Stegostoma tigrinum: one gene and its partners. The protein of the gene in region 2 purifies or fractionates together with the protein of the main gene of each other region. This does not show direct contact. Links are inferred from orthologs where the notes say so. Each region holds a gene or a part of one and is shown on either strand. Other genes may lie near its edges.

Evidence for each region.
Region 1: the proteins of hnrnpua (region 2) and eftud2 fractionate together in Homo sapiens (co-fractionation; 3 studies listed by BioGRID, with this or other methods). This does not show direct contact. The link is inferred for Stegostoma tigrinum from reciprocal best matches to the Homo sapiens genes HNRNPU and EFTUD2.
Region 3: the proteins of hnrnpua (region 2) and snw1 purify together in Homo sapiens (affinity purification with mass spectrometry; 3 studies listed by BioGRID and IntAct, with this or other methods). This does not show direct contact. The link is inferred for Stegostoma tigrinum from reciprocal best matches to the Homo sapiens genes HNRNPU and SNW1.

What each region holds. Positions count from the first base shown.
Region 1 is NC_081384.1:27,965,009-27,968,759, reverse strand, and holds the start of eftud2 (116 kDa U5 small nuclear ribonucleoprotein component), read right to left. Parts: upstream 3,005-3,751; 5' UTR 2,883-3,004; intron 1-2,882. UniProt on the Homo sapiens protein: Required for pre-mRNA splicing as component of the spliceosome, including pre-catalytic, catalytic and post-catalytic spliceosomal complexes. Component of the U5 snRNP and the U4/U6-U5 tri-snRNP complex, a building block of the spliceosome.
Region 2 is NC_081362.1:86,364,999-86,368,749, reverse strand, and holds the start of hnrnpua (heterogeneous nuclear ribonucleoprotein U), read right to left. Parts: upstream 2,183-3,751; 5' UTR 2,029-2,182; coding exon 1,311-2,028; intron 1-1,310. UniProt on the Homo sapiens protein: DNA- and RNA-binding protein involved in several cellular processes such as nuclear chromatin organization, telomere-length regulation, transcription, mRNA alternative splicing and stability, Xist-mediated transcriptional silencing and mitotic cell progression.
Region 3 is NC_081363.1:13,496,760-13,500,510, reverse strand, and holds the start of snw1 (SNW domain-containing protein 1), read right to left. Parts: upstream 2,907-3,751; 5' UTR 2,810-2,906; coding exon 2,796-2,809; intron 1-2,795. Other genes in the region: adck1 (aarF domain-containing protein kinase 1), read left to right, coding at 3,337-3,349. UniProt on the Homo sapiens protein: Involved in pre-mRNA splicing as component of the spliceosome. As a component of the minor spliceosome, involved in the splicing of U12-type introns in pre-mRNAs.

The DNA of each region.
Region 1 (3,751 bases), on a different chromosome or scaffold from region 2:
TATACAGCTCAGGTTCCCACCCCCCTGCCATACTAGTTTAAACCCTCTCGAACTACTCGAGCAAACCTTCCACCCAGGACATTGGTCCCCTTCCAGTTCAGATGCAACCCGTCCTTCTTGTACAGGTCCCACCTTCCCCAGAAGGCATCCCAATTATCAACATATCTGAAGCCCTCCCTCCTACACCAGCTGCGTAGCCACGTGTTCAGCTGCGCCCGCTCCCTGTTCCTCACCTCGCTATCTCGTGGCACCGGTAGTAAACCAGAGAACACTACTCTGTTCGTCCTGCTCTGCAGCTTCCATCCTAACTCCCTGAAATCACTTTTTATATCCTCAAACCTATTTCTGGTTATATCATTTGTGCCAATATGTAACACGATTTCTGGCTGTTCACCCTCCCCTTTCAGAACTTTATACACCCGATCGGAGACGTCCCGGACCCTGGCACCAGGGAGGCAACATACCTTCCGGGAATCCCGATCTTGCCCACAAAATCTCCTGTCGATTCCCCTAACTATCGAGTCCCCTACCACGAGTACTTTTCTATTCTGCCCCCTTCCCTTCTTTGCCACAGTGTCAGGCTCAGTGCGAGAGAACTGACTACTATGGCTTTCCTCTGGTAGGTCAACCCCCCCAGCAGTATCCAAAACGGTATACTTATTGCTGAGGGGAATGCCCACAGGGGATCTCTGCACTGTCTGTCTGTCCCCTTTCCTCCCCCTAACTGTAACCCATCTATCCTCGTCCTGAGCCTTAGGAGTGACCAACTCCCGATAACTCCTCTCAATTACCCCCTCTGCCTCCCGAATGATCCGTAGTTCATCCAGCTCCAGCTCCATTTCCCTAACACGGTTTTCAAGGAGCTGTAGCTGGGTGCACTTCCCGCAAATGTAGCCAGCGGAGACGTGTGCCACATCTCCCAACTGCCACATTTTGCAGAGGAGCAAGCAACTGCCCTAGCATCCATACCCCACTTATCTGAACACCCACTCAATACTAAAGCAGAAAGCTCACTTCAAGTAATAATAACAAATTAATAACAAACTTATGTTCAATAGAGAAAGTTTAGAATGAACCTTACCTTATTAACTAGGTTAGAGGAGGAGGGCGGGTGGGAGACACTACAGTTGTAGAGTCTCGGGTTAAGCCGCCTTGCTGATATATATATAAATTATTCTTTCTTTCATGCACTGAAACAGTACATAAAAAAGACTATTTCACCCATCATGCTTGTGCTGGTTCTTTGGTAGAATGTTCATCATCCCATTTTGCCCCATAGCCTTGTTTCTACAATCTAATTTTTAAAGTTATTATTGAGTCTGCTTCCAGCACACTCATATTTCAGATCACAACAACTTGCTTTTTAAATGTGTTTCCTCAAGTCTTTTTTGCTAATATTATATCTATGTCCTTGGTCATTCACCCTCTGCCTCTGAAAACAGTTTCTTATTATCTCCTCTTAATTTTCTGGGCTCTAAGGAAAATAAGCCCCGTTTCTTGTGTCCAATTAACATCCATCCTTCATCAGTGTAAAAGCAAAATACGCCAGACTTTGAAGGGTTGAAATAAAAGCAGAAAAAGTGTTGGAGAAATTCAGCAGATTTGGCAGTATCAATGCAAAAAGAAGGAAAGCTAACATTTCAAGCCTGATATGAATTTTCTTTGTGAACCAAATAAAGTTACATATTACACAATTATTCTTCCCAGAGATGCTATCACAGCTTCCTCAACACATTGTTTTTCTTCAAAACTAAATTGGTGAGTTTCTTCTACATCCTTTTCAAGGTCTTCTAAAGTGTAGTGCTCCAAACTGAAAGCACACAAAACCCCTTCACTATGGCCCAATTAGATAGGTTTTCCATAACTCCTTTGGCTTTTATAATGTAGACCTCGATAAATAAAGCAAGGATTTCGCAAAGAAATACAAAGCCTTCATCAAGACCTTTTTTGTTCCTCTTTCCCCACGAACATTGAACAGGGTAGTTTATACAGGGGAGGCAGGGACTCTTGTGGTGCAATGGGAGTCTCCCTACCCAGGAAGGCCTGGGTTCAAATCTCACCTACTCCAGAGATGAGTAGTAACTTCTCTGAATAAGTTAATTAGAAAATATCTATATTTTGTACATATCCTGAATGATGTGACATGGATTACTGAAGAATTATACTACAGTTGTCTTCAGTAAGGTAGGGGTTTAGTGTGAAAGGGTGCTGGGATTGGAGAAGGACTGACATCTGCAACACAAAAGTTGTAGTGGCTCAGTGGTTAGCACTGCTGCCTCACAGCTTTCCATCCTTGGGCAACTGTCCGTGTGGAGTTTGTACATTCTCCCCATGTCTGCTTGGGTTGCCTCTGGTGTTCTGGTTTCCTCCCACAGTCCAAAGATGTGCAGGTTAGGGCGGATTGGCCATGCTAAATTGCCCAGTGTTCAGGGATGTGTAGGTTAGGTGGGTTACAGGTCTGGGTGGGATGCTCTGAGGCTCGGTGTGGACTTGTTGGGTCGAAGGGCTTGTTTCCATACTATAAGGATTCGATGATCTATGATGATCTAAAGTAATAATGGCTTGTGCAGAACTGCTTAATCACTAGGGGTTCCTGTGGTGTATTGGTAATGTCACAACCTCTGAGGCAAGAGGCTCACTTTCAAGTCCCCGCTGCTCCAGAGCCGTGTAATAACGTCCCTGATAAGGAAGTTGATAAGGAAAATATTTACAACATGTAGGTTCCAGGCCCCTCGGTGTTACTGGATGCTGGGATTGGTGGTTGGGAGAGAAAGAGAGAGAGAGAGAGAGAGGCGGAGGGCCATTTTGGAAGACGGCGAGGAGGAAGTTTCTATCAAACCGTAGCAGCCTCGATGATGAGGGAAGACAGCAGCTAGACTTACATTCGACTCCGGGTTTTATCCCGCTCTGTCTCGGCCTCCACCTCGCTCAGACGAAGGAGCGCGACTGCATGACAACCGCGCGACACTCACTCAGGAAGGACCCCCACTTTGTCCGGCGCAGCCGCCTGACTCTAAAGACAGAAATAACTCCGCTAGAAATGTCTTCAAGTAACTCTCCGATTATACTGTCAGACTTTAGTAAAAGGAAATGTGGTTCCATGTTTAAATGAAAGGTGGGAGCAAAAAATCAGGCTGTATGGTCATGACCAGTGATTGAGCCTTTCTGCACATAATCCTTGTTCTGCTGAAACTCCTGTTTTCAGGAATAATGTTCCCTCCGCCTCATCATTCTCCCATAGGCATTAATCTTAGAATTTCTGAAGGAAAATAAGTTAACATTTCCATTCTAATATTACATAAGGAGCAGTTTGTTTTCTTTCAGCGTCTGCATAGTACTCTGAGGTACAGTTCAAAATGACAGCAGCGTAATGGTAGGAATAGAGTCGAGCATCAAAAACATGCCACGCACATAAACCGGAGGTTGATGAATCAAAATTAGCCTCCGCTAGGTAATTGCAGCAGTGAATGGACGCGGTCTTTCATCCACAGCAGCAGTAAGTGTAACCCTACCTTCAGATCATTAGACAGTCCCACCTGCTCCAGGTGCCTGAACAGGTTGATTTAAAGATATCTATATTTCATGTCAAACACGACGAGTTATTTGCAAAGTTCTAGCCCCTTTGTATACCATAGAGGCCTTTAGACAGCAATCTTGCCCCCTTGTGAGTGGAGCAGGTGATGGTGGTGAATGGGCAGATACTGGTCCAAGCTTGGCAGATAGCTGGGAAAGTTTAAATTGAAATTTAGGC
Region 2 (3,751 bases):
AAAAATATTGCCAACACAAAAAATTCTTCTCTGACTCAAGGACCCACACTCACAAGCAACATACCTCCAGACTGTTTGCCTTCCATGTTGTCAAAGACATTGTCGTTTTCTAAAATAAACTTAATTTCTCCCATGACCCGATATCAAGCTACCATCCAAGCTACAGAGTAAACGCAGCCTTGCACATACAATGCATTAGCCAATTTCATCATTTGCAACCCACAGTTTTTGTCAAAGCCTTCCCACACATTGGGGCTATATGTGCTTGGCTGCAAGCTTTTCTAAACCATTCCCACTGTTTTATCCACCCGGTCCCATAGTTTTTCTGGGAGGTTTAAGAATCCATTACTAGCCCTAAACCTAAAAGTGATCTCCATTTAACCACAGAATTAAGACCACATTTCACACATGCAGTTACTTCATAATCAACTTTAACCCACTCAACTCCTCCAAAACTTTTTGGATGAAATCCAGGATGGGATGAAGCTTCAACTTCAAACTGACCAAACATTCACAGATGCAAGCTATACATGCAACTCCAGCCCTTCCCTGCACTTCTTCAGAGACACAGCCAAGTTACTGTACCCTAAAGGTGCCCTGACCTTATGTTTTAGCTAAATCCCCACTCCAACCTGACGGCCTACTTTTCATCAAAATGCTCTGATATAAAAGATAGTAGGAACTGCAGATACTGAAGAATCTGCAATAACAAGGTGTAGAGCTGGATGAACACAGCAGAGGACCAGGAAGGCTGACGTTTTGGGCCTAGGCCCTTCTTCAGAAAATGATAAAAGCATGTGGCTTATCTGGCCTGACAGTGCTGGAAGTGATTTTCTAATCTAAAACATCGAACAGCAAATGCAAAGCAAAATAAAAGAGAAGGTGCAAAGTTGTTTCTATTCCCACTTCCCCTCCCCCTACAACCTTTTCCTAATTCCTTGAGCTACTCCATTTTGGTTTGCATTATTTCCACCCTCCATTTTCTCAGTGGCTTCCTTCAGCCATCCTGTATCCTCATCCCACACCACCACCCACCCCCGCCTCCAATCCACTCTCCCATTTTAAATCCAGTCTCTCTCTGATAAGAGACTGGGACTCAGGCTGAAGCAGCTCCTCCTCCACCACCCCCCCACCCCCTGGGCACGGTCTAACACGCGCGCCCAGCAGCCGGAGCCCAATGGAGGCGCCGGAAGTGATGGGTTCTGAGGCTCGTTGATGTTTTAGTTTTTTTTTGTGAAATAAAACGGATGAATGAGAAATAAAAAGCCCAGGTTCCCCGCCCCCGGGCGAAGGGAGGCGGGTTCCCCCACCTTTGCTGGAGTGTTGAGGGGCGGGAGCCGGGACCGAAGCGGCCTCAGGTTCCTGTTTGCCACCAGCCCGCGCCTCGCCGTCCCCCAGCTCCATTGTTTCCTCTTCTCCCGCTCTTTGCTGCGCCTCAGCCTGGACTTGGGTTTGCTCTTGGACCCGGGCCGGCTCCGGTACCGCTCCCTCCGCCTCTCCCATCCCGTTTTCCTCCTCCTCCTCGTCGCCCAGGCCGCTCTCGCCTGTTTTGCTCTCGACCTCCTCCTCCTCCTCCTCCTCGTCGTCCATTCCCCCTCCCGCGGCTCGGACCAGGACTTCGGCCTCTCCTTGAGATTCCTCCTCCTCCGCCTGGACTTGGCTCACTACGGCCGCCGGCGGTTCCAGCCCAGCGGCCAGGGAAGCGCCGTTCAGTCCCGGGCCCCGCGCCTGGGCCTCGGCTTTGTCTCCTCCCGCCAACTGCGGCGGCTCCTCCTCCTCCTCCTCCTCGCCGCCTGCCGTCTCGTCTTCCAGCTCCTCCTCGCCGTTCTCGGGGGTCTCCAGCGGCCCGGGCCCCCCGTCTTCCTCCTCCTCCTCCTCTTCCATCATCTCCTCCTCGGCCTCGCTGTCGAGTGCGGCCTGCAGCCGCTCCTGGAGCTCGGCTTTCAGGCCCTGCACACTCAAGCCGCGCCGCTTCAGCTCATCCTTGAGCTCGGGCACCTTCAGTTTCTTCACGTTGATGTCGCTCATGGTGAGGACGATGGCGGGGACTCGGGCTCAGCTCCGGCCTCGGGCTCCGCTTCGATTCGGGCTCCGTCACCCTGCACCGATCGACCCGGCTCCTCGAGGCTCGGCTCGGCTCGGCTCCGCGCCGCGCAGACTCAGTGTGGGGTCAGCACCGGCCTACCGTAAACCCCCGAGAGTGAGCGCCTCTGCTGGAGAAGCAGGGAGATTGCTGACAGAGCTGCTGGCACATTACTAACCCAATGCCACTGACTGCCTATGCATCATCGACAAAGCTGCTGCTGGATTACTGCGGGGGGGGGGGGGGGGGGGAAGATATGGTCATTGTCATTATTGATTAGTGTCTGGTTGGAGATATCAGTTACTGGGCATATCTTATCTGCAAGCATCAATAATGACATTTGAAGCACTCTGTTTGCAGATAGCTGTGCTTGAGAGTCTATCCTTTGCTCCTCTCTTCTTCAACGTGCTTCCCCTCATATCATCCGCAGGAATGGGTTACCTTTCATAGTACACTAATGATAGCCTGTACTCTTATATCTACCATGGGGATTGGTTAGTTCAGTTGGTTAGACAGCTGCTTTATCATGCAACAGCTTGGGTTCAATTCTCGTAAATTACTATGAGGGTCCCACCTTCTCAATCTCGCTCCTCGTCTGAGGTGTCATGAGCTTCAGGTTAAACTCCACCAATCATCTCTAATGAGACAGCAGCATTAGGGTCCTCTGAGGTCATGGCAACTTTACCTTTATATAATTACTACTAAGTCAGATGTTGTTCAACATCAAATAATAGCTTTTTCCTCCCTTATTGGGTAAAGTTATCAGAATTAGAGATGAACTTGTTGAAATGTGAGTTCCTGAGACAGCTTGAAAGGATAGACGCTGACAGATTGTTTCCCCAGCAGGATAATCTAGAATTAGGGATTGCTGTCTCTGGAGAAGGAATGAGACATTTAGGACTGAGATGTGGGGAAATGCCGTTGTTCAGAAGGTTATGAATCTTTGGAATTCTTTAGCCCAGAGTGCTCTGGGTTATCTGCCATCACTATTGGATGTTTTGGTTGTTAAAGGAATCAAAAAGAATGAGAGAGAAAGGAAATCAAAGTCAAAGCTCAGCCAGCCTTATTAAATGATAGAAAAATCTCAGACATCTTATGGATCTCTTAGAGCAAAATAAATAAAAGATAGGAATAAGAGCAGGAATTTCTCATGAGATAGGGATCAAATGTGGTGAAAACTATACGAGTAAAGTGTCGGGAATTGGCATTAAAAGAGATAACTGGAAGGCTGCTAAGTTATAAACTGCATAGACTGATTGACCTACTATTTGTGTCACATTAGTTTGGAAATCTAAAGTAGTAACTATGCATGCTTTGTACATTAGTATGTAGCAACTGTATAAATAAAGGAAATGACACAGTGTTTCTATGCAGAGATCAATGAGTTGAATTTAAGGTAGAATTGCTGCTGAATTTCAAGTTCAAGATGTTAGAAGAATAAAGGAGTGGGTATCATATCTTGCATTCTGATGTTTCCTCTGGCACTAATCAAAATTCATTACTAGCCTTAATAGCAATTAAGGCTGCTACTTGATGATACAGGGAAGCAATCTGGAAAAATAAATTCTGAACTTTAAGATGATTGGGTTTGGTGTTCACTATACATGGTTATAAATCTTAGGATGAGTGTTAGTTCAAAGTTAGATCTGTGGTAATCCTAACCATAGA
Region 3 (3,751 bases), on a different chromosome or scaffold from region 2:
ATCCTTCCCTAAAAGGACATTAGTGATCCCTTGGCACTGGTGCATTTTTAATTTTCGCTCAGTTTAGATAATAAATTGCCTTTTTCTTCCTGCATCCAAAATGGAAAACCTCATATGTATCCATTTTAAACTCTATCTAGCAAATGTTAGCCCTTTCACCTTGACTATCCATATCTATTTGTAAATTTCTTATTTTTTTTCTCATTGTTACATACTGCCCCACCCATTTTAGTGACATTGGCAAATTTGGCTGCAATACATTCTATCCCTGCATCCATGTCATTAAAATAGTTTCTAAATAGTTGGGCTAAACCCTATAAGTTACAGACTGCCAACCAGAAAAAGATCTGGTTATACCATCTCTCTGCTTTCTCTTTGTTAGCCTCAATCCTCATATATTACCCCTAAATCTGTGATCTCACTTTGTGCAATAATGAATCAGAGTCACTACTGCATGGGTGCAGGCCTTTCAGCCCATTGAGTCCACACCATCCCTCTGAAAAGCATCGCACTCAGATCCAACTCCCTTCCTGTAGGCCCTGCATTGCCCATGGCCAACCCAACTTGCGTACACACTCCTAGAAACAACAGGGCAATTTAGCATGGCCAATCCACCGAACCTGCACATTCCTGGGAAGAAACTAGAACACCCGAAGAAAACCCATCCAGAAATGGGAAGAACATGCAAACTCCACATAGACAGTTTCCAGAGGTTGGAATCGAACCTGGGTCCCTGGCACTCTAAGGCAGCAGTACTGATCACTGAGCCAACATGCCATCTGAATGTGCAGATTCCACACAGTCACTTGAGGGTAGAATTGAAACTGGGTTCCTGGGGCATGAAGGAGTGGTGCTAACCACTGAACCACTGTGTCACCCTATCAACTGCCGTCTGGAAATTCAGAATTACATCTATGGACTCCCATTATCCACTTTGCTGGTTACATCTTCAAAGAAGTCTGGCAAATTGGTTAAATATGATTTGACTTTCATATAACCATTTAGATTCAGATGGATTGGGTTTTGACTTTCCAAATGTCCTGTTACTACTTCATTAATATTGGATTCCATCAACTTTATGACAGATATCAAACTAACTGATCAATAATTCTCTACTTTCTGTCTCGCTTTTTTGCTAAAGGGTATTACATTCGAATTTTTCAATCCTGTGGAACTTTCCAGAATCCATGGAATTTTGGAATATTATAACCAACGCATCCACTATTGTGGCTACCACTCCCTCGAAGATCCTATGATATAGGCTATTGGGCCCTATAGACTTGTTTGCATTAAATCCCAATAGTTTGCTCAGTACTCTTTCTCTAGTGAACAGGAATGTTGAGTTTCTCCTTTCCTATAATCTGTTCATTTGTTACTATTAGGATGGTTTCAGTATCCTCTACAATGAAACTGAGGTAAAATATTGATTTAGTGCCACTGCCATTTTTGTGTTACCCCATTATAAACTTCTCAATCTCGACCTCTTAAGTGACCAACATTCACTTTAACAACTCACTTTAGTTTTTATATACTTTTAAACAGCTTTGCTCTCCACTATTTATATTTTGTGCTAGTTTTCTTTCATAATTTGACTTTGCTCTTTTTATTACTTTTTTACTAATCCTTTGATACTCTTTAAAAGTTATCCAATTCTCTACTAGACACTTACCTCTGCAATACTGTGAGCCTTAGTTTTTGCCTTTATGATTTCTTTAACGTCCTTGCTTACCTATAAATGCTTCTCACCTCCCACCACTTAAATTATTTCTTCCTCACTGGATTATATTTTAGTTTGGAGAAACTGAACATCTCCTTCAATGTCTGCCGTTGCTCATCAACTGTCCCACCTATTTGCCTTTTTGGCTAATACATTTAGGCCAAAACTGTCCTAATGCCTATGTAATTACATCATAACACTGATGTGGGACTCAAATTTCTCACTCTCAAACTTAAATTGAAATTCAAACACACTATGTTCACTGATAAAGTGTGGGGCTAGATGAGCACAGCAGGCCAAGCAGCATCTTAGGAGCACAAAAGCTGACGTTTCAGACCTAGACCCTTCATCAGAAAAGAAACACTGTCTGCTGTTGATTGTGTATTTGAACCACATTTACTCAAACTAAATGTGAGTCTATCACGCATTTGCCAACTCTATGAAAGCTACTGAATTCATCTCACTCCCCTATAACCTTTTCTGGCATTTCTTTTTTATTACCTACAAAAATTTAACTTTTTGGTTTGGGTGATGGTTGTTACCATGGCAGCAACTATGTGGTAACACTATAGACATCACACATCTCATAATTGGTTCATCTTACAACAAAACATAAAGAATAAGCCAGTAAAACATTTGTATAAAAACAAATAATGCATACGTGTAGAATTGCTAAGTATTAAAGCGACTAAATTACAACACAACAAAAACCTTTAGCAAGCCAATCTCCAACATTCATCAATCGAGGCACTGAATAACACTTTCACATTAAATTTTGATGCTGTCCTATCATACAAAGAACAAAAGTAACTTCAAATATGATATTTTCAACTACTTTCCTCCCAATGCTGCTTATTTCTTCAAGCCAGGAATTCGCAAAAGGTAAAAGCAAGGCTTTGTTGGGCCTAGTCGGGGAATTACGAAAAGGGCTTTATTGGACGCCAGGGAAATTCTGGAAGCACAGATCCGTCTGCAATCGCGGTTTATAACAAGATGAGAGGGAAAAGAAAGAAAACGTTTTGGGGCCGAATATCCACGGAATTAAAACTATCCAACACAAACATAGAGAAGCACCTACCTCGTCAGCGCCATTTTCTCTACAAAAGTTGCTGTCAACGCCACCGTGCGTCTGACGTCACGTCACTCACCCTTGCAACGTTTGCGTCTGATGTCATCGCATATCTACCGGCCTGCCTTTGAAGACACTGCTTCTGGCGTTGTTACGCGACCCGCCTGCGTCCCTCGACGTCTGCCCACCCACGGTTCTTCCATCCTTGTTACAGGCTTTAACCTCACAGCCTTTAGTGGGTTTTAGTCGCCGTCATGACCTTTTTTGATTAACGTTTGTTTTATCATAAAAGATACTTGTTTATTTCATCCTTTGCATGCTCATCCAGTCGAGCGAACTAAAATGTGTAAAGCTGGCCCGGCATTTCATCGTTTGACCGTGGTGGTAGACATGTTGTAGTTTTTCTCCGCGGTGAGAGTCTTTTAGAAACAAACGGAACTCCCCGGCACAAATAACTACAAATCCCGGTGCACCATGCGCGAGTGGGATACTCCATTATCTGCACGGGATAGGGGTTGGGTATTCGAGTGTCAGAGGGCGAAGGTGAGTGATGACAGTCGGCGGTAAGTGCATGTCAGGCGAGACGTAGCTAACGTGATCGCCAGGAAATATAATGCTAGGCTCTGACTATAAATGAATCATATTTGTAGCTTTTGAACAGGCAACTGACAAATATATACAACAACGAACTGCGGTTACTGCAGGGCTGAAACAAACAGAAATTGCTGGAGAAACTCAGCAGGTCTGGAGTTCTGAGTCATCAGTTCTGAAGAAAGGTCTTTTTGTTTTAGTTTCCATTGATGCTGCCAGACCATCCGAGTTTCACCGCTACTTTCTGTTTCTGTTTGTGACTGACAGATATGTGTTTGATTAAATAACACTGCGAGCTGGATGCGTGGAAACTGATTACTCTCAATTGCATAAGTGAGTGAAAGGTCAGTTCTGTATAGATCACAGCAGTTCAG